Linked DNA regions of Tamandua tetradactyla. The protein of the gene in region 2 interacts with the protein of the main gene of each other region in a pairwise test. Links are inferred from orthologs where the notes say so. Each region holds a gene or a part of one and is shown on either strand. Other genes may lie near its edges.

Region 1 (7,134 bases), on a different chromosome or scaffold from region 2:
GAGGGAACTACCTGAAAATGCAGAGCTGTATTCCAGTAGCCATGTTTCTTAAAGATGATTGTATAATGATGCAGCTTTTACAATATGACTGTGTGATTGTGAAAACCTTGTGTCTGATGCTCCTTTTATCTACCTTATTGACAGATGAGCAAAACATACAAGATAAAAATAAATAATAGGGGGAACAAATGTTAAAATAAATTTGTAGATTGAAATGCTAGCGATCAATGAAAGGGAGGGGTAAGAGGTATGGTATGTATGAATTTTCTTCTGTTTTCTTTTTATTTCTTTTTCTGAATTGATGCAAATGTTCAAAGAAATGATCATGATGATGAATATACAAATATGTGACAATATCGTGAATTACTGATTATATATGTAGAATGGAATGATCATATGTTAAGAATGTTTGTGTTTGTTGTCATATTTTTAAAAAAATTTAAAAATTAAAAAAAACAAAAAAAGAAGTAGTCAGTAGCTTGGGTCACACAGCTGGTTCATGGCTACCAGAGCTCCCCTCTCCACTGCCCTGCACCCTGTAAAGCAGGGTGGGTGGGGGATGCACCACCAGGAGGCAATTTTCTTTCCATCAGGGGTAGCCAGAGAGAGGGGAAAACTCTCTTCACTATCCACAAAATTTGCTCTTCCCTATTTATTCAACAAATCGTATGAACCTTTTTCTTCTTCATAGTCAAAATTTGGATTGAATCAGATTTTGATCAATGAAAGCTTTGTACAAAGTTTCCTTTCTTTCCTTTTTACACAAGGGCCCTCCTTTTGCTCTCTTTCCCTGGGTGCTGGTTGTGGGTCATGGAAACGATTTTGTTTTAAGTTTCACAGTGCTGCCAGGCCCTTCCAGAGCACCCCAGCACGTCCCAGTTTCCACCCTAGAGGACAGGTTCTCTGCGCACAGGCAGCTCAGCTCTGCACAGCCAGCCCCACTCACCAGTCGGATGCCTCTTCCGCTGTCTTCCTTCCAGTAGCCGCCAACGCTTTGAGCCTGAAGGAAAGAGGGGACACGGGAGTGCTCAGCCGGGCTGAGAGCAGCGGGCTGCAGCCCCAACCTCAGCCTCTGCGCGGGCACCTTCCGCTGGCTCAGAGGGCAGGCTTCTGCAGCCCGAGCGCCTGTGCCCACATGCCGCCCTCCCTGCAGCCACCACCATGGCCCCAGGGGACACCAACCTGCATGTGTCGCTCCCTGCTTGTGCCCCTTGCCAGGCTCCCACCGCCAGGCCTTTGCAGGGAGCCCAGGGACCTTGCCATTGGACCTCTGTCCACTCCAGCCACCCTGGTCCCACCAACCAAAGCAGCACGGACCCGCCTATGGGCCCGGGGGTCAAAAGCTGCCAGCATCCAGCCCACCCCCTCGGTGAAATTGTGGTGCCCCTCTCGGGCTGCGAGCAAACATCTCCCCTGGGAATCTTCCCTAGTGGGCTGGATGTGCAGCCCCTCCTTTGCGTCCCGCTCCGTGCATTCATCATGGGTCTCACCGCGTTAGCGTGCATCTGTTTGTCCCCCCTCTAGAAAGAGTCCCCTGGGGCTGGGCGGTGTTTAAACCGTCACTATAACCCAGGATCTGCATTCATTGAACATCAGCACCAAATGGAGCAGGACGAAAGGTACTTCACTCAGGATGGCAGGCTGGAAATAACCAAGGGGTGCTGGCTGAGGCAGTTGTGGGCTCCCGGCGGTGTGTGGCTCCCCAGAGGGCTCTGAACAGACAGGCCTCAGCCCAGAGCCCGGCTTGGGGGGCTCCACGTGAGAGCTTCAAAACCACCGCCCTGCCCCCACCTCTGCGAGGAGTCCAGCACCAGCAGCAAACGGCTGTGGAAAGAGGGTGGGCCCTTGGGGCGCTGGGGGCTAGATCAGGTCCCTCTGGGAGCCTGGTGTCCTTGGCGGCAGCCTGGGGTGCCTGATTGGGAGGGGGGAAGGCGCCCCGAGAGCTGCCCAGGATGGAGCCCCCTGGACCTGCCCACAGGCAGGTTCCCCTCCCTGGGTGGCACCCCTGGGCTTGTTGAGGATGCCGTGATGGCAGAGTCCCCACTTGGGGAAGGAGAGGAACGGGGCCTGGCTTTGAAGTTAATTCATCCAGCGTGGGCAAGGTTTTGTTATAAAGTTTAAGGAAAGTTCTCCCACCTCCCAAATCCTAGGTTACCACAAGCATATTTCTGTTCTGCTTTTCCATTGAGCAACTATCTGGAAAAAAAAACCCAGATCTAAGAAATCGGTTTGGGCTAAAAATCATGGCCCAATACCAGCCTTGCCGCAGCTCACTGGTTAGGGGCTGCCAGGGGCCTCTTCCTTCCCTGCAGGGGTGGCTCCCAGGGCTAAAGGCTCTGCGTGAGGATCTGGGAGGAGGAGGCCGGGGCCAGTGCGGCCCTGTGGCTCATGAACCATTTTGCTTCATGACTGGACATTCACGCGATTTTCCCCAAAGAGGAAGGCTTCCCCTGAGCAGTTTAGAAACCCAGGCTGGCTGGTGATCCTCGCAGCAGCCCCCGGCCTCAGACACTCCCCAAGAGACTGAAACACCTTGACACGCCACCCTGAGGATCTCTGAGCTGCCCGCAAAGAGGTGGCAAGCAGGCCGAAGCTCCCACAGGCTCTGAGAAATGGGGGACAGCCTCACTCACAAATTTCAGGGCCCCCCCGATCCACCAGGCAGCAGATTTTGTCTTGAAAAAAGTAAAGCTCATTTTCTTTACTGACAGTTGGGAAAGGGCCTTATTCTGAGAGCATCTCCTCTTTGCTGTGGCAGGAAGTAGGTGCCCCGGGCTGCCTGCAGACGCGCGGTGAGAAGGCTGTGGAGGGTTCTGACCCCACGCCCAGCGAGGCTGGCTTCAGGGTGTTGGGGGCAAAGGCCCAGGGGCCCGGGCCGGCTGGCGAGGTACTCACGCGGTGTGCGCTGGGAAGCCAGACGCCAGGAGGGACTCCAGGGCCGAGGAGGCACCACGGCCTCTGGCCTTGCTGGAGACCTTTGCGTAGAGCTGAGTCTCCCCGGCTGCCATCTCTTCCTGCCCGCAGTTCAAGAGGTTTGCCTTGCAGACTGAAGCGAGTAGATAAAGCCAGGGAGGGCGAGGGGGAGTGGCTGAGCCTGCAAAGAAAAACCTCAAGGCACTTTTGATCTTTCTGACAAAAGCTAATATCCTGTTTGGGTGAGATACAGTTTTCAGAGCTGTCTGTGCAGGGACCTGGGCGCAGCATCCACCAGCCCTAACCGCTTCCACAGAGGGGCCAGCTGAGCCCCTGTCGGGGATGGACATTTGTACTGACTTGGGGGGTGTTTGGGGTGAGTCTTGTGAGAGGAGTGGAGGAATGGCGTGAGGTCAGGGGCGATGGGGGTCCCCAAGAGACCCTGACTTGTAAAACGAGATGCTGCCCTTGCTTCGTTCTATTGTCCCTACTGACTTAAATATTTTGGGTTCTTTAAGTTATTCATTGTGTTCTTTCTGATTTTGAAAACTTTTTGATTAAAGTATAATATGCAGACAGAAAAGCTGGCGAATCCTACCTGGATAGGTTGATGATTCTCATAAAGTGAACACTCACGACCACCTATCTGTAGGAAAAGCAATAAAGCAGCGGAATTCCATGGGGCGACTTGGCCCCCTGGGGACATTGGTAATGTCTGGAGACATTTTTGATTGTCATGTTGGGGAATAACTAGTAGGTAGAGGCCAGGGGTTCTGCTAAACACCCTACAGTGCACAGGGAAGCCCCCCAACAAGGGATGATCTGGCTCTAGAACATTGCCAGGACCTCAGAAGCACCCTTTCAACCCTGCCCAGCCTCCGAGGTAGCTCCAACCTCCCCTGCAAAGACAACCATCATAGCTGCTTCTACATTAACTTTGCCTCTTTTCAAACCTTTCGTAAACAGAACCATGGAGAATGTACTTTTTTATGTCTGGTCTCTTTGGCCCAAAAGCATGTTTGCAAAACTCATCTGCATTTCGTAGCTGCAGTGAAAGATGAACTGTCATTGCTCCTGTGTTCTGTTGATGGATCAACCATCACTTACTTATCCATTTCTCAGTTGATGCACATTTGGGGGGTTCCCAGAGACGATGATGCTGTGACTGTTCTGTACGTCCTTTAGTGCCCCAAGTCTGCATTTCTATTAGGTGTATATCTAGGAGTGCAACTGCAGGGCCGTGCGGAACGGGTACGCTTTAGTGGAAACTGCCAAGGAGTTTTACAAGGCAGTTGCACCAGTCTGCCCCCTGTCGGCAGCACGTGGGAGGTGCAGCAGCTCCATCTCCTTGCCCAGACTTGGCATCCCTGGTCTTTTAAATGTGAATCGTCCTGCTGGGTACGTGGTGGTATCTGGCTGTGGTTCTAATTTGCCTTCCTCTGACACGGAGCTCCATTTCACACACTAATTGGCCACCTGAGTATTCTCTTTGGGGAGGTGCCTGCTCTCATCCTCTGCCCATTTTTTCCCATTGGGTTGTTTGTTTTTCCTGATCAATTTCTGGGAACTCTGAGAATCGAGTCTTTTATTGGATGTATTTATTGGTGAAGTCTTTTTCTAGGCTGTGGTTTGCCTTTGCATCCTCTTAATAATGAGATGAAGCAAAAGTTCTTAACTTGAGTGAAATTTAATTTACCCATCTTTTCTTTCATGGTAAGAGCTTTCAGCATCCTGCTCTAGAAGTTGTTGATTCAACATTGGTGAAGATAGTCTCCTATGCTTCTTTCTGGAAGCTTTTACTTTTACCAACTGTATGATCCATCTGAATTAATTCTGTGTATGTTCATTTTCATACACTTTTATCCATTGAAAAGAGCTTTGGTCCTTTAGAACTTCGACTGTAAATCAGACGACTGTGTCTGTGACAACCAGTCTCTGGATGCTTGTCATGGCCCCTTGTTTGATTGGTCCCTTTTTGTGCCCATAAAAACACTCTGCCTTAATTACTATACTGTTAAGCCCTCTGATTTTGTCATCTTCAAGCTGGTCTTGCCCTTTCTAGGTCATTTACTTTTTCATGCAAATTTTAAAATCCAGTTGTGATAGTGTGGTGTCAGAGAGTGCAGAAAACCCCACACATATGTGAACAATTGGTTTTCAACAAGGCACCAGTGTCATTCGTGGATGAAAGTTACTTTCAACAAATGGTGCTTGAAAAACTGCATACTGGTGTGGAAAACCTCAACCTTACCTCACATTATATGCACAATTAACCCCAAAACATACGATAAACCTAAAAGTAAAAATTAAAACTGTAAAACTTCTAAAAGAAAATCTAGGAGAAAAGTCTTTGCCTTGTTGCAGTTTGCAAAGCCTTCTCATGACATAAAAAGTGTGAACCACAATGGAAAAATGTGATAAATTGGTTTTCATCAAAATGTAAAATTTCTCCTCTTTAAAAGACACAATGAGGAAAATTAAAAAAAAAAGCATGTCACAAACTGGAAAGAACAGTTACTATGCATTTATCTGACAGAGGACTTGCAGCCATAACATATGAAGAAAAACAGCCCAGTTTCGAAATGGGCAAAAGATATAAATGGACACTTGACGAAGAAAGTTAAGTGAGTGGCCAAGGAGGAAATAAAATGAAGCTCAACATCATTAGTCATCAGGGAAATGTAAATTAAAACCCCAATGTAATACCACCAAATAGTCTAAAAGAGCTAAAATTGAAAAGACTAACAATACCACGTTTTGACAAAGCTGAGGAATACTTGGAACATTCCTACATTGAATGCAAAATTGTCCAACTCCTTTGAAAAGCAGTTGGGTGGTTCCTTAAAAAGTTACCTTTTACCTTCTTACCTAGCAATTGCATTCAGTATTTAACAAAGAGAAATGAAAATGTGGGTCCTCACAAGGCTTTACTCATAGCAGTCCCAAACTGGAAATAATCCAAATATCCATCCGCTGGTGAACAGATGTACAATTATGGAAAATTCAGTCAATGGCACAATACTGAAAAGGGAACACTGCTGATTCATGCCACAAAATGGAACAATACTTTAAATAATATTATATATTTAAAAAATGAATCTAACAGAATGCTCACCTTCCATGCAGGAGATCTGGGTTTGATTCCCACACCATGCACCTCCCCCCAAAACAAAAAACAACCCCCCCCCCCAAACCTATAGTGACAGAAAGCAAACTGGTGCTAGTCCAAAGCTAGGGCATGAGATTTGGGGAGTGATGGGAATATTCTATATCCTGGTTTTGTTGTGATTACCTGGGTGGACCAGTTTGACTCTCTTACAGACCCCAGAAAAGCCATATCCTTTAATCTTCATTCAATATGCTGGGTGGGGGCTTTTTGATTGTTCCCCTGGCAATATGACCCACCCAATTGGTAACTTTTGCTTAGATGGTTCCATGGAGATGTGTCTCCACCCATCCAAGGTGGGGTTGCTTGCTGGATCCCTTTAAGAGGGAACCATTTGGAAAAAGCTTGAGAGCCATGAGAACCACAAGAGCCCACACAGCCAGAGACCTGTGGAGATGAAGAAGGAATACATTCCCGGGGAGAACTTCATGGAACAAGAAACCTGAAGAGAAAGCTAGCAGACGTTGCCGTGTTTGCCATGTGCCTTTCCAGTTAAAAGAGAAACTCTGAACATCGTTGGCCTTTCTTGAGTGAAGGTAACCCCTTGTTTGGACACTTTTGTAGCTGGCTTTAATTGGGACATTTTCATGGCTTTAGAACTGTAAACTTGCAACTTAATAAATTCCCCTTTTAAAAAGCCATTCTGTTTCTGGTATATTGCATTCCAGTAGCTTGCAAACTAGAACACTGGGTGTATATATATTTTCAAGACTGATTGAATTGAAGACTTAGAATGGGTACATCTTATTGTATATAAACTAAACCTCAATAAAGTTGATTAAAAAAGAAATAGACAGCGGGGCAACCAAATCAATAGACCGAGCCCTCAATCTTGGGGTTTGTTCATATGCAACATCCCTGCAAAGGATAGACTTAGCCTACTTAAAAATAGGTCTACGAGTCACCCCTAGAGAACCTCTTTTGTTGCTCAGATGTGGCCTCTCTCTCAGTCGACACAGCAAGCAAACTCACTGCCCTCCCCCTCTCTACAGGACATGACTCCCAGGGGGGTAAACCTCCCTGGCAACGTGGGACAGAAATCCTGGAATGAGCTG
Region 2 (7,971 bases):
GGTATTCTCCTCCCAGGCCCCTGATGCATACTCCGTTGCCCACCTCAGTCCTTGCAGCTCATGCCTGGTCCACAGTCTGGCGGTACAGATTCCCTCCCAGTTCACAGAACCAGGAATTGTGCTAGGAGCTGAAAGCACAGAAAACAGGGCATGGTCCTTTCATTCAGGGAGTCAAGGATGGACCTGTCCCTTGTTTGCAAGCCAGAACCTTCAGTCTTGGCCTCAGTGAATGAGAGGGGCCTAGGCTTTCTCCTCTGGGTCACCCACATACCCAGCCATTGGTTTGGCCCCCACAGGGCACCTCATCACCATGTGGGGTCCCACTGGGAGTCTTTCAGACCCCTTCTCATCTGTCCCTAAGTTCCCCCAGGGATTTTTTCCTTTTGACTCTTGGCTAGATTTAGGGGTCCTGGTCCTCAGCCAGAATCTGCTCTTGGCTGCCTTCCCCTCCTTCATGGTTCTTTTGTGAAGAGGGACCAGGAAGGAACAGGAGCTGGAAGGGACCAGAAGCACCCCCTGGGGGCCTGGAAGCTTTTCCAGCTCATCCCAAGGACTCCTCTTGGCTCACCCCTAGCCCTTTCATGCCCCTTTCCCTGGCTCTTCCTGTCCATTTAGAGGACCACTGGATTGGAAATAATAGGCCGCCCACCAGCCCTCTCCTCCCACCAGGACAACATGTGCTCCCTGCCTCTCACCCGCCCTGAGGGATTCAGGCAGGAAGACCTCAGAGGGGAGAGGGGAGCAGAGCAGATAGGGAAAAGCAATTACAAAGTGATCTCAGGTTAGAGGTTTGAGACAGGGAGGTGGGGGGTAGCAGTGGCAGTGGGGGTGGGCTGTCTGGAGCAGATGCTGGCTATGGTGGGAAGGAGGGAGAGAAAGGGCCCAAGCTTATTAACCCTGGCACAGGAGTCTGGCCCCCTGGGGTCTGTGAAGGTGCGTGAGCTGATGCCTTCCCTGTGCTCCAAGATGGCAGGGAAGAGGAAGAAGAAGGAATCGGGAGGGGGGTGCAGCCAGAGTGGTTGTGATCACAGGAGTCATACCCCTCTAACCAGAGAGGCTGCTGGACTCAGGCTGAGCATGGGGAGGACCAGTCTCTGCTCTGAGGCAGCGCCCCCTCCCACTAAAGAGGGAGACAATCCTTGCCCTCCAGCAGGTCCAAAACTGACAGCTGGCCATGGGTTCTCCCTGCCAAGTGAGGAGGTATGAATCCTCTCTTGTGGGAGCCTTAGTTTGAGGCGAGGAGAGAGACTCTATCACCTTAGGGAGACACCAGTCTGACGGGGAAGACAGATGCTAGCATGAGAAAGCTCCCATCCAAGGAGGAGAACAGGTCCCCTCACTGGGAAGCCTCAAGTTGAAATGCAGATGGGATCCATAGCCACAGGAGGTAGGAGTACACCAAGAGCTTCTCAAACGGGATGGAGTGGTGCCCCTGGCACAGGGTAGCTGTCGTTAAGTGGAAGCCATGACTCATCAAGCACCTGCTATGTGTGGTTCTCACTGATTTTATACTCACAACCACCTCATAAGTAGATATGGTGAGTGCCCATTTTGCAGATAGGGATTTGGAGACTCAGAAGGTTCCTGAAGTCGCCCAAGATCACACAGCTAATTTATGGCCAAGGCCTTGCTCTCTCCCCTAGAGGACACTGCCATAGAAATCGGAGGCAAGTCTAGGGAATCAAAGGGGTGCTCTCTCTGGGAGATGCAAATTTGGGTTTTAGAACACCTGCCTAAAGCTAGAAACTGGCTTTCTCTGTGACTCTAAATTGGCTGTCCAGTGGCCGCTAGGACCTGGGCAGCTGAGCACTGCCATCTAGCGGCCACCAGGGCTCGGTTCCCACACTCAGCTGTAGGATGGACTGGGCCATCAGGAACCAGAGGGATTTTTGTTCTCATCCCACTCACTTTTCTTTTGTTCTCAACTCCTCTACTTTTCTTATATCCACCTCCAGGCTTTTTTGTCCACACAGTAATTAAGCCAAATAGTGCTACATGGGCTACCCGTGTATTGCTCCTGCCACATGAAGCTGCTGTGCCCTGGAATATGAAGGGAGCATGACTCTTGATTTGCTCCCAGATAGTGGGAAGAAAAATTAGGAGACCTCAATTCTAGACGTAGGTCTGCCCCTAAGAAAGGGGCAGCAGCATGATCAGAGGCAGCCAGGTGGCAAGCAGCAAAATGGCCAGTTGAATTAGAGGCTAGCATCTTTGGAAAATACTGGGTACCTTGTATGCATGTTCAGCTTGATGTTGAGTTGGTCTGACTGGGGAGGCATCTAGGCTTTGCCTGTGACCGGAGGGCATCGTGGCAGATTCTGATGCACGGAGAGACTCAAGGAGTGGGAGGCCCTCTTATACCCACCTCGGCTCAGGAGTGGGGTGCAGCTTGGCAGAAGGCCATGTAGAGGGATACAGGCAATCTCTCTCTCTGGCTGGCAGCGTCCTGCTGCCCAGAGGTCAGTCTAGGGATGGGCCTGAGGCTTCACATGTTGGGCCACCAGGTTAGGGAAGCAGGAGGAGAGAGGTGCCATCTAGAATGGGGACTGAGCCACACCATAATTAGGCCTTGGGGTGGAGGCCAGAAGGGCTGCGAGCCTGCCCGTGTCTGTGGGCTGCGTCTGCCTGAGGGCAGGAAAACATCACAGCGTGGTGATTTAGAACAGAGAGAAAGAGAACATAACTGTCCAACAATAGAGCTCAGTTAAATAAATGCATACAGTAGAAAACCATGTAGCTGTGAAAATGATGATGTGGATAAATATTTATCGATATGGAAAGATGTTCATAACATATTGAGCGAAAAAAAACAAATTACAAAACCATTTGTACAGCATAAGCCCACTTTTTAAAAAATGCATTTATATGTGAAGAAAATCTGGTAGTGTTTATCTCCAGGTGGCAAAATTACAGCTAATTAAAAAAATATTTTTGCTTATCTTTATTTTCTAATTTTTCTACAATAAATATGTAATACAAAACAATGCAAGTTTGGAAAACAATCTCTACCAAATCCGTCTGCCCCTTTGCTTCTCTGTATGAACACCGTTAGCTAGTCAAGGGTTGAGAGTGGGGATGGGTCTGAGTGCTAGATGGGAGGTTGGGAATGGGGGCAGGGAGAGCCAGGGCCTGGGACAGCGGCCCAGCTGGAAGGGGTGAGGCTGGGGGACCCCTTCTGCTGGTTCTGAAATGAACCTCTGTCTCATATACAGAAGCACAATTCATCAGCTTTTCTGACAAGCCCTTCCTACTTTTGTTACATCTTTCATTTCCAGGATTGCTTTGCACTCATTCGGATTTTACTTGGACAAAAAGGGGAGACCACATGCTGTGATTTGCTAGTCAATCTGAGGGGGCCACAACTAGCTCAGAGATGATGGTTAGAACCCGGGCTTGTCCCCTGTCTTGTTCTTCAAGTCCCTATTGGTCCCCAGCTCACCAACCCACGACAGGATGAATGGTCACTGGGTGCCCCCTCCCCATATTACTGCTCAGGACCCAGGATCAGATGTGACCAGAGAATAAGGAAGGGACTCTCAGGCCTTCAGTTTGTGCTGGAACTCACAGGGGCGACATCAGCTGGCAGCTCATGACATGCCCAAATGAAGAGCATGTCCCCTGGCATGGGGCAGGGGATATTACCCTGAGAGGGGCTCAGGGTCCTGCGCTGGCTCTAAGAGCTGGGGAGAGGGTGGGCAGCATGGCCTTGTCTGCAAAGCTGGAGACCTGGCATGCTGGACCACTCTCCAGGGCCTTCCCCTGGTGCCCACTGAATGACTCACCTTGGCACAGAAACAATAGTCAGGGTGGGCACAGAGCCTGCTTCCCACTGCACCCCAGCCCCCCTCAGATGCCTTCCGAGAAACCCATTGAGCAGGGGACTTGGGCTACCCCCCGGCCTGACAGCCTGGCATCTCAGGATAAAAGCAACTCAGGCCCCCGGGAGCTGCCCTTCCCGCACGGCGCCCTCACCGGTGGCGGAGAACAAGGCTCCTTTCAGCAAGAGCCCCAGAAAAGGGATCAGCAGCTCAGGGCATGGGCAGGGGTGGCAGGGGGTGGGAGGGAGGAGGGCCGCCTGCTTCCCAGAAGTCCAAGGACATAGATTGGTGAGGGTCCTGGGCAGGGCTCTGACCCTTAAGAACCAAGGTAGACAGCTGTAGACCGACCCGAAGGCTCAAGGGGCAATCAGGCCTGGGGTCCGGGCTCCCAGTCTGCACTCAGTGGCTCCTGGGTTCCCAAACTCACCCATCCCCAGAGGCCTTTCCCATCAGCCCAGCCTGAAGTGTGGGAACTCAAAGAAGATATATTTCCAGGGGGTGTGTGAGGGGGTGACCAGGGCGACAGGGAGTCGCAGGAACAAAGATGCAAGCTGGAACAGCCAGCTCATTCGTAACTGCTTTGTGGAGCTGTCAAGGCCTGAGCTCTGGGGAGGGGGCAAGGAGGCCAGGCAGGGGGAGGGGTGAGCCCAGTGGGAATAAGGTAGGGGCTTAGGGGGGCCCAAGGAGAGGGGCCAGAGAGTATAGTACCTGACCCCCTCGACCCAATCAATTGGGACCTTCAAAGGTCCCTACTGTCACTGGCCTCGGCTAGACAGAAAGGCCTCAGATAGCCCACCAAGAAAACGGAGGCTGGTGTCCAAACCTGGGCCCCAATCCCAGAACTCCAAGGAGAGACAAGAAAGCAGGAATGTAGGATGGCTGTATTCAGAGGGCAGGATGTACAGGAATCTGTTGGAATGGGGCTCAGTAGGAAACTGTAGCAGGCTGTCACTTGAGGGTATAGAACAGGTTTGTTTTTTGCTAATTTCCCAGCATGGAGCAGGCAGGCAGTGAAGGAGTGCTGAGGGAGGGACTGCCTATGACAATGGTTATGGAATCTGAGATGGAAGATAGGTCAGAGGTCACCTGGCTCAGCCCTCTTTGACCCACTTTTCTGGAAAGGGGGTCTCCTGGTCCAGTGGTCAGGGTTCCAGACCCAGATAGGGTTGGCATGCCCGGGAAGCCCTGCCTCTGGGCACAGTGACCTCAGTGGGGTGAGAGGAGCTCTCCCCATGGCTGGGCTGCGGCCCAACCCCACCCCCTCAGGCTATGCCAGGGGGGCGTTGCCAGGGGCACCCTGGGCAGTGGCAGGCCAGCCCACTCCTCCATAAAGCTTTCACATCCCAGCAGCAGGCAGAGCCAGGCCAGGATGGAGAGGCGACGCATCACCTCTGCTGCTCGCCGCTCCTATGTCTCCTCCTTGGAGATGGTGGGGGGCGGCCTGAGTCCCAGCCGCCGCCTGGGGCCTGGCGCCCGCCTCTCCCTGGCTCGAATGCCCCCTCCACTCCCGGCCCGGGTGGACTTCTCCCTGGCCGGGGCACTCAATGCCGGCTTCAAGGAGACACGGGCCAGTGAGCGGGCAGAGATGATGGAACTCAATGACCGCTTTGCCAGCTACATCGAGAAGGTGCGCTTTCTGGAGCAGCAGAACAAGGCGCTGGCAGCCGAGCTGAACCAGCTGCGGGCCAAGGAGCCCACCAAGCTGGCTGACGTCTACCAGGCCGAGCTGCGCGAGCTGCGACTGCGCCTCGACCAGCTCACGGCCAACAGTGCACGGCTCGAGGTCGAGAGGGACAATCTGGCACAGGACCTGAGCACCCTGAGGCAGAAGTGAGGAGGGGGACTGTGGAGGGGCCTGTGGGGTCTCGTCAGGGGCTCTGCTTCTCTGCTTCCCACGTTTCCCCACTGCTGGGAGGGAAGGGCTCTTGTGCTCCCCAAGATGACGGGAGGGGGCAGGAGGAGGACTAGAGCCTCAAGGATCTGAGTCCCAGGGACAGCAACTCCCACTGGGGAAAGCTGGGCCGGGGACCATGGGGGACCCAGTGGGCAGGTTCTTTGCATTTCATCCACTGCTGGGCCTTGAGATCCTGGCAGGGAAATGCACCTACCTGAGCCTGAGGATTAGAAGGCAAGAAGGCGGAAAAATAGAGCAGGCAAGCCTGGGTTCAGAACACACTCTGCCTGTTCTCAGCTCGTGACCCTAGCAAGTCACCTTGACTTGCACTGCTGTGAAGCAGCGATCATAATAAAATCCATCACAAGCGGCAGTTGCTTGGGACGTGGAGCTTTGCTGAGCTGGCAGGGCAAGTGTGTTACCTGCAAGTGCAGGGGGAAGTGTGTGAGTTTGTACCTGCAGCAGCAAGTACTCACTGGTGGGAGTTCAGTAATGGACTTCATTACTTAAGGGACTTCAGTAATGAGTTAGGGCCAAAGTTCTCATCTGCTCACCCTCCCACCCTCCCAGCCATTCCCATGATCCAGGACCCCTTGACCCCTACTCCTCCTGCCACCCTACCAGTTCTGGGGGTCTCTGAGGCAGGGAGAGCACGGTAGGGATTTGAGAGTCCTCAGAAGACCCTAGATCCAGGAATGTGTCATACACACCCCTCCCCACTCCAGGCTCCAGGATGAAACCAACCTGAGGGTGGAGGCTGAGAACAATCTGGCCGCCTATCGACAGGTCAGGGAGGTAGAGGGGAAGGTTGGGGGGTGGGGAGGGAGGGTTGGAGGCAGCCCACCTAAACCAAGCCCCCCAAACCCAGCCCTTCAGATCAATGAACTCCTGCTGCCCCAGAAGAAGAAGTAAGACAAGCCTGGGGAAGGGAGAAGAGGAGTTTGAGGTCAGAGTGGTCCTTTGTCCCCTCCCCATTCCAGGAGGCAGATGAAGCCACCCTAGCCCGTCTGGATCTGGAGAGGAAGATTGAGTCTCTGGAAGAGGAGATCAGGTTCCTGAGGAAGGTCCACGAGGAGGTAAGGCTGAAGCAGAGGGAGGAGAGCCCAAGTCAGAGACTGAAGCTGAGAAAAAGACAGAGATGGAGGATGAGAGATTGAGACAGAGAGATACTCAGAGACAGAGGAAGAAAGAGAGGCAGAAAGTGAGAGACAGAGGGAGAAACAGATACAGAGAAAAATGTGCGGTAGAGGGGGATAGAGACAGACAGGAGAGCATTCCGGACCCCCGTTAAAAGGCACACACATGTGAATCAAACACTCCACTTACTGGATTCAAATAGGCCTCATGGCCTCATTTTTTTCTTCATAACAGCCCTGTGAGGTAGGAACTGTTCCAGTATTATCCCCTTTTCACAGAGGACACTGAGACCCAGAGAAGTTAAGGAACTTGCTACGGTCACACAGTTAGTCTCTCCAACTCCATCCCTTCTGTCACCTGCCTCCCTTCAAGTGAGGGCCATTTATTAAAAAAAAAAAAAAAAAGTCCCACTGTGTTCTGAACTCAGAGCACGGATTCAGAATCTATGACCCTGTGGAACCTGGGAACCTCTGGGTACCCACCCACAGAATGCAGGCACATCTCAGGACCGGGCTCCTACCCATCCAGCCCTGGCAGAGGACACCTTGAGGCCCCAAACTACCCCCTGCCTTCCTTAGCCTGGGCCATGCCTCTACCTCCAGCTAGGGATGCCCCCCTTCTCAGCCAATGCCTGAGTAAAAGCAGGTACGATGCTGTACGATACCCTGGCCAAAGCCCGAATCCTGAGCCCTGGGACCCCTTCTCTCACCCTGACCAGGAGGTGCGGGAGCTCCAGGAACAGCTGGCCCGGCAGCAAGTCCATGTGGAGCTGGATGTGGCCAAGCCAGACCTCACGGCAGCCCTGAGAGAGATCCGCACACAGTACGAGGCAGTGGCATCCAGCAACATGCAGGAGGCAGAGGAGTGGTACCGGTCCAAGGTAGCCCTGACTGTGGGACAGCTTGCCTCCTCCAGACAGTCCTCCTTTCTCCATACTGGAGAACTAGGAACGGAGGGTAGAAGAAGGTGGAAGGGGCTCCTCTCTGGGTGACTGACTTCCAGAGAAATGAGATGACTCCGAGAGTCTTACAGGCACTACTACGTCCAACAAGTACTTATTATTATTACTACTATTATTACTACTAGTTGTAGTAGTAGTAGTTTAGTGGTAGTCAACATTGT
Region 3 (7,091 bases), on a different chromosome or scaffold from region 2:
AACAAGCTCAGTTATAAGTGTTTTACATATATTCTCACTTCATTCTCAGAACAATCCTATTCAATATGTACTTTTAAGAACCATTTTATAGATGAGAAAACTGAGTCTCAGAGATAACTTGCTCTGCTTCTATAGTTAATTAAGAGGCAGAACTAGAATGCAAACTGAAAAGGGGTGGTGACTCAAAACAGGACTGTATATTCCACTATTGTCCTATCATTTGGTGTAAAAGCTGACTTTTCCCAAGGAAAATTAAAAAAAAAAAATGTGCTTAGGTCTTAAATTGCAAAAAAATGTGCTTTATCTTGATGTCTTTGCACATAAGGCAATGTGTATATGATTTCTGTGACTCTACTCTTCAGTAGAATCAACACAGGAAACAATATTTCTTTTTGACCAGCATCAATTTTTTTATTTTGAAACATTAAATCTTCATTTCTAAACAGCAAGAAATCTCCCGATAAAAAGATTTTCTAAACATCATAAAATTGTCAAATATCAACACTCTTGGTGAGCAAGGTTTTTGAAAAATTATTTTTTAAAATTACAAAAGATAAAAGGTAGTATTTACATGTTTCACTGAAATTTTCTTTAAACAGAGCATCACTGAACCAAATAGCCACTTCTTCTTAATCACTGTAAGCAAGATAACACAGGATTATAACCTATTTTGATTATTTAACCTCCGACATAGTAATTTTTAAACACCTCAACATTTAGTCACTCCACAGGCATTTCAATCAAAGGCCAGCACAGTAGAGTAAATAGCATTTTAAACCTGAGACCTATTATTTCTCTGAATTGTGTGTGTACAAATTTTTTACCTCGTTATTAATTCAGGTATTTCTTCAGGTCAATAAAAATACCTATGAGAACAGGAACCCAGGATGCATATTCTATAAGCAGAAAAAAACTGAAAACCTTATCTCCTAAAAGAATATTCTTAGCCAGTCAGACTTTCAAGATCCCTGTGGGCAGGGATCACATCTTGGTGCTATTCTTTCCAATACAGCATTAGCAGGGAGTAGTGGTAGACTCTGAAATGATTGTGAAAATGACACGTTACCAGCCAGCAGTGTAAACCCTATTTTCTCATGGTTATGTCCCAATTTAGGATAATTTCATACTTCTTTAAATAAAGAAAATGCTTTACAGCAATGAGACCCACAGAAAAGTTCAGGAGCTCATACTAGGGTGACGTCATGTGCTTAATACAGACGCAGCTCAAACAGCTTTGCTCTTTGCTAAACAGTGACCTCTTTATCCAAGTTGTTTTGTAAACGTGTTCTGCTGGTCACAGGGAGGTTCGGGCGAGAGTGTGTGGATGGCCTGGCACTTTTCATTTCAAGAAAAGAAACCCAAACATGTCACCTTACTGGCATTAGAGTAGTGGCATCTTACTGACTCCTACCCTGTGATATATCATGCTCATCTCAAGCCCATAACATTATGGCAAAGTTTTGAGAATGTCATTTATCAAAATAATTTGAAACGAAAAAAAATAGAAAAACAGATTAATTTGCGGCTTTTCAAATACAAGCTATTTACAAATCATTAATAAAATGAGTTATAATAGGTAAAATTCAAAACTTAGTAAGAGTGTCTCTATGAATTGAAACGAATGTGACTAAACTTAAATAATATAAACCAGTATGGTCAAGAGTACTGGGAACTACCTAATCTTACATTTTGAGAGTTTTCAAGAATAGTTTATGTTGAAGTGGTTATAGATGTGCAAAGGTTAAAACAAACAAACAAACAAACAAAAAACCCAGACATCATCGGTCCTTTTTCACCAACAAATTATTTTCCCCAACAATCACTTCTTAAAAAGGGAAGGAGGGTGATTTACCATTAAAAAAAAAAAATCCTGTCCCATTCAAGTTGAGATTCATGCCAGCATAACTAAATGTCGGTACTCACTTGTGCCCCCAGAACCTTCTCCTCTTCCGGTACCACTCCAGCTCCAAAACAACTACCAAGGAAGAGGAAGAACTGCTCTTGGCTTGGGCTCCGCCTCCCCAAAGTAGGGATAGGTCCCTAGGAAGCTGCACACCTGAAACAGGTAAAGGAGCAAGTAAACACCCACTTTCGTCCAGTGTAAAACACCTACTTTATTAATATCCACAGGACAAAAAAATAATAATAATAAAACTATGGTGCTGGCAGCTGGATAGGGACTCCGCTCAGTTTGATAACTGCCATTGCGGCTTTTAAAAATTCCGGTCTTATTTACGTTGGGAAAAACCAAGACAGATGATCCCTATAGAGAGCCGGAAGGTGCTCCACTTCTGTGCTTGTATATGTGTGTGTGTTTGCGACAGCGCTGACTGCGGACCCGGAAAAGCGGGAGCTGAAGGTGCTGGTAATTCAGAGTTGTAGCTGCGGAGTCCCCCAAAAGGACTCCACCCTTAAGGCGCTCAGAGGCGAGGGCTTGTCTCCTCGGATCACTACTTATCTCCACAACGCCGGCGGGGCTTTACGCTGAAGGTTGACGAGGCTTAAGGATCCCAGAGGAGGTTTTGCTTTCGTGGAAACTTAAAAGCTGAGAACGAGTGCGTGCGTGTTCTCAACTGTAAGACATCGACGGTCTTCACTCGAGTCTTACCTATAGCTCCGCAAGATTCTGAGCTCCCTCCGCTAACACTCGGGAGTCCCGTATGGCCCTTCTCACAGACCTACAGGTATCAGGTGCTTGCCTCCCACCACCCAAATCCTGTGTCTCAGGGAGGCAGAGTCGGCGCATTGACCTCCACACTTGGCCCGCTCTCGGCCTCGCACCAGACGTGCGCTCAAGCGAACTAACTCAGCCGAGACACGCTGCATTACAGCGTTCAGCACTGCTAAGAGACAAATAGGTCGCTTCCAGCGTTCCCATCCCTGCTGTCAATATTGACCCGCTGCAAAAGCCGCCAGAGAGCAGTGACCTGACAGGTGAGTCACCCCTCCCCTGCCCGCCTCCTCAGGTAGACTCGACCCGCGCCTCAGCGCGCATGCTCTGACCACGCCCCGCGCTGAGCCGAAGTCTGGACTGCGCCGGCGCATGGGGGCCGGATGCTCGAAGTGCGCATGCGCTGTTCTCACTTCGGCTTCTGGCCGTGTGGTTCCGTTTCAGTAAGTGTCTTTATTTGCGGGTGAGAAGATGGCAGCAGGGCCTCCCAAATCGGTGCTGTTTGTATGTCTGGGTAAGAGAACACTGACTTAACCCCACTTCTGACTTTCACTGACGGGTTGGGTATCGGCATCTTGCACTGTGGGCTGCGCCGCTGAGAGAAGGAAAAGTGAGCGGGAGGAGGCCAAGGAGGGGGAGATGGAGACTTAGCGTGGGATGGGGGCGACCTGGGCCCCGCTCTCCTTGTCGCACCTGCAGAGCTCTGTCTGCAAGTCGTTGTATTCCTACAGTGCACCTACCTAGAGTCCCTGGTTCCAGGTCCATTGTACCCGCATAGACAGCCCCACCCCCACCCCACCCTACCCCCCAATCTAGAGAGGTGAGTTTTCTGATACACTCTTATTAGGAGTCTTCTGGTGCCCTGGGGTCTATGAAAACACCAGTTTGCTATTTTGGCCCAGGCTTACAAATGGATCTGAGTTAACAGTGCAATGAGTGGAAGGATTCCTCATCTCTTGGTCTAAAAACCAAGTCCAGGAGACCGATTTTTCAGATCTCCATGTAACCCTGTTTCTAGAACCCACGTGTCCCAGTTCCATTTTCATGGAAAAATGGAGCTGTTTTGTGTTAATAATCTTTCAAATATCTTCCCGCCCAGAATTTTATTCTTAGAATTTCAGTAAGTCTTTGGACTCCTACTCATAACAGAGTTCACCTTCCGTTTGGTTTTTCGGGATTTTTCCTTCGGTGTAGCATTTCAGGGTTCATTCTCAGTTCCTTACCTCATCTCCTCTCCTCACCGGAGTGCTTCCACCGTATCTCCTTCATCCCTCAAAAGAGGAAGGCCTAAGCTGTCTGTAGTCTAGTCAGAGTTTTTAAAATCTTCTGATGGCTCATTTCCTACAGAAAAAAATCCAGCTCCTTTTTATGATGTGCCTTTCATAAAGTCTCCCTGGGCCTTTTCCATTTTACTTTCATTATCTTTTTTCACCCATCTCCTTGGAGTATATTACCTGTCCAAAACTAATTGCTGGTCCCTCCACATCTGAAGGTTAATGTGATGTGCCTGTGATAATGGGGTTAACTCTTCCTGGGCTTTCATTTTGCCTGGAGTGCTTTTTTATTTTATAAGGTCAAGCTCAAACATCCCATCTTTATTTTCCCACACCCTGTAAGTGGAATTAGTTTCTTCCTATGGACCTTTTTAGACACCTTTTATTACATTGTATAATACTTTGATAACCTGCTGAAATCTCAGATAAATTAAATTTGCTTGACAGCAGTAACTTGGTTTATTTTTCTTTGTATTTCCACTTTTAGAACACTATCTGGTACTCTTTAGGTATTTGTAGAATTGAAGTTCTGAGGGAAAAACGTATAAATGTCACCAAGGGATATTTTTGTTTCATCTGAATAGTAGGTTGCATTTGATTTTTAAGCTCTTCATGGAAGGCTGATGGAACCAACACATTTGTTAAACATTTCTGTTTAGGTTGGGCACCTAATAGCATTTTATTGCCTTGATTACTTAATACTGTTGATCATACTGTTGTAATTCATCATGGCAGCTGTTAATGGGGAAGTGTATCCTTACATATATTTATCTTTACAATATAATGCAACAGTTCTTTTCTGAGCCCCTCTTTACATCAGGCACAGGAGTGTTGGGGTTGGAGTAGTGAACAAAACAAAACAAAATCCCTACATTTCTAGAACTCATTCTCTTGGCAACAAACAAGTAAGTAATTGGTATTCTCAATCAGGTAGTGTTAAGTATTAAGAAAAATAAAGCAGGAAGTGGGATTGGGAGCAGAGTACAGTTTTAATAGAATGGTTAAGGAAGGCCTCATCTAGAAGATACTTCAGCAAGGACCAGAAAGATGAGGAAGCAAGCCTAGTGCATATTTTGGAAAATCATCTTGGGCTAATGAGGAAGGATAGGAAAGGTTTTGAAGTCAGTTTGCTGGTCATGTTTAAGAAACAGCAAGGAAACCAGAAAGACTGGGACCTAGTTACTAAGTAGCCATTTCCCAAGCAGAATTCCTCATCTGAACGGGAGAACTCAGAAGATAATGACTACTTGATCAGTGCTCCCACAAATGATATATAACTAGTACCATTCTAGATGAATATGGGGAAAGCTAATTCACTATAATGTAGTGGATGCTTTAGGACTGGAGTCAGCATACTTTTTCTGTAAAGAGCCAGAGTACCATATCAGAGTTGTACCATGGAAGCAGCCCTAAACAATACATAAACAATTCAATATGATTGGGTTGCATTATTTGTGAAAATTGGAATTTCAATTTCATACAATTTTCATGTGTCATGAAATAGTCCTTTGATTTTTATTTTCCCCTCAACCATTTAACAGTGTAAACATTTTTCTTCATTCTGGGCTGTACAAAAAAAAGTGGTGGGCCAGTTTTAGAATCACTGTATGGGGGTTCATATCTCCTGAGACTTTGTAGGCTTTGTGAAGACAGGCTCTTAATCTGAAGGAGATAATAATCCATTGGAGTACTTTTAGCAGAGACAGGAAGTGATCTAATTTACTTTTTAAAAGAAACATTGCTACTCTTGTTGAGATTAGGTTGAAGGGGAAGCAAGGGCAGAGAAGCAAACCCATTAGGAAGATATTGCCATAATCTGTGCAGAATAGAGCATGTGGGTTAGACTGGTTGACATGGTCAGGGGTGCATTCAGATAGATTAGCGAGAGATGCCATTTTACATAGTAGACTATAGGTAGAATACAAGGAACTGTATATATATTTTTGAAATTTAAAATGTTATGCCTATCTGGACTATGCATCACCCTCACCCCACCCATCCCCCAAAATGTTATGCCTTCAAAACATTTACATGGGTTCTTTAGAGACTGAAGTGTATGTTGGTAAGCCTAATAGCAGAAAAGAACTCCTTATTTTGGCAAGATTATTGAAAAATATTTTATGTTTTTTGTAAGATTAAGACCTATTGGAGAGCATGAGCTGCTTGTTAATCATGCCACAGCCAGCACCATCCTGGTTGGTGGAGATAATGGTGTATTAGTGGTGTCAAATTACTTTTGAGTGTTTTTTTTTATGTGCCATACACTGCTAGATAGGTACTGGGGGACACCCCAATGAGTAAAATAATCTCTACCCATGTAGAGAGCTTTTTTTCTTTTGTGAGTCTGTTCTTGAAATGATAGTATTGAGTAAGGGTATTCATATTGTTGCCAAATTTGAGGAGGGGAGGAAGATGGGAAATAACAAACCTTGAAGGCTTTACAGATTGGAACATTTTTATAAAGAAATCAGAAGTTTACATCTAAGGTTTTTAGAACTTAAATAGGTGAACTCTAAAGCATTGTGTTTTACCTGTGTGCTCCATTTAAAAATAAATGTGCTTTATTTTAAAATAGCACATGTTCAAGACACAACTTTTGAAATTAAGAGGGCAAGTTATAAACAGGATTTATTATTGTTGACCTTTTGGGTAGTATGACCTTGCTTTCAATCTTCATAGTAATAAATGATTTTCATTCATACTTATAACACATCTTCTTGCCCTTTAAAGATACTTGCCTAGTTAAAAAGCAGGTGAGAACTTTAAGGAATATTTCCCAGGCAGAAGAAAGTCTGGGAAAACTGCTGCTTTTTTACAGTTAATGATAATTTTTTTGTAAAGGGGCAGGATTGTCTTTATTATGACTTCACATGCCAAGATTATAGGTTTATAATTTCTGAAATTAGGCATTCCAGAGTTTCAAAATGATAAATGTCTTAATTTGGGATAGGGTGATTGTTGTTAAAAGTATCCTCAGGTTATATGGCAGCAAGTAAAATAATCACCCATAGGGAACTTTTCAGTAATTAAAGTAGTGGCCATGATAATACCAGTTTTGAAAACTGTATATAATTTTAGAATTGAAAAGGAAATACTTCATAGCACAGACTACCATATAGAGGGGTTTCAATGTTAATTTCTGTCTT

What was found.
Region 1: the proteins of GFAP (region 2) and UBASH3A interact in binary tests that used the Homo sapiens proteins (3 or more experiments, as listed by UniProt). The link is inferred for Tamandua tetradactyla from reciprocal best matches to the Homo sapiens genes GFAP and UBASH3A.
Region 3: the proteins of GFAP (region 2) and SH3YL1 interact in binary tests that used the Homo sapiens proteins (3 or more experiments, as listed by UniProt). The two-hybrid records come from large-scale screens. The link is inferred for Tamandua tetradactyla from reciprocal best matches to the Homo sapiens genes GFAP and SH3YL1.

Annotation. Positions count from the first base shown.
Region 1 is NC_135336.1:99,705,882-99,713,015, reverse strand, and holds the start of UBASH3A (ubiquitin-associated and SH3 domain-containing protein A), read right to left. Parts: upstream 3,030-7,134; 5' UTR 3,009-3,029; coding exon 2,896-3,008; intron 1,001-2,895; coding exon 947-1,000; intron 1-946. UniProt on the Homo sapiens protein: Interferes with CBL-mediated down-regulation and degradation of receptor-type tyrosine kinases. Promotes accumulation of activated target receptors, such as T-cell receptors, EGFR and PDGFRB, on the cell surface.
Region 2 is NC_135332.1:22,511,526-22,519,496, forward strand, and holds the start of GFAP (glial fibrillary acidic protein), read left to right. Parts: upstream 1-4,885; 5' UTR 4,886-5,187; coding exon 5,188-5,648; intron 5,649-6,437; coding exon 6,438-6,498; intron 6,499-6,692; coding exon 6,693-6,788; intron 6,789-7,567; coding exon 7,568-7,729; intron 7,730-7,971.
Region 3 is NC_135329.1:43,297,259-43,304,349, forward strand, and holds the start of SH3YL1 (SH3 domain-containing YSC84-like protein 1), read right to left. Parts: upstream 3,002-7,091; 5' UTR 2,609-3,001; intron 2,057-2,608; 5' UTR 1,925-2,056; coding exon 1,924-1,924; intron 1-1,923. Other genes in the region: ACP1 (low molecular weight phosphotyrosine protein phosphatase), read left to right, coding at 3,143-3,185.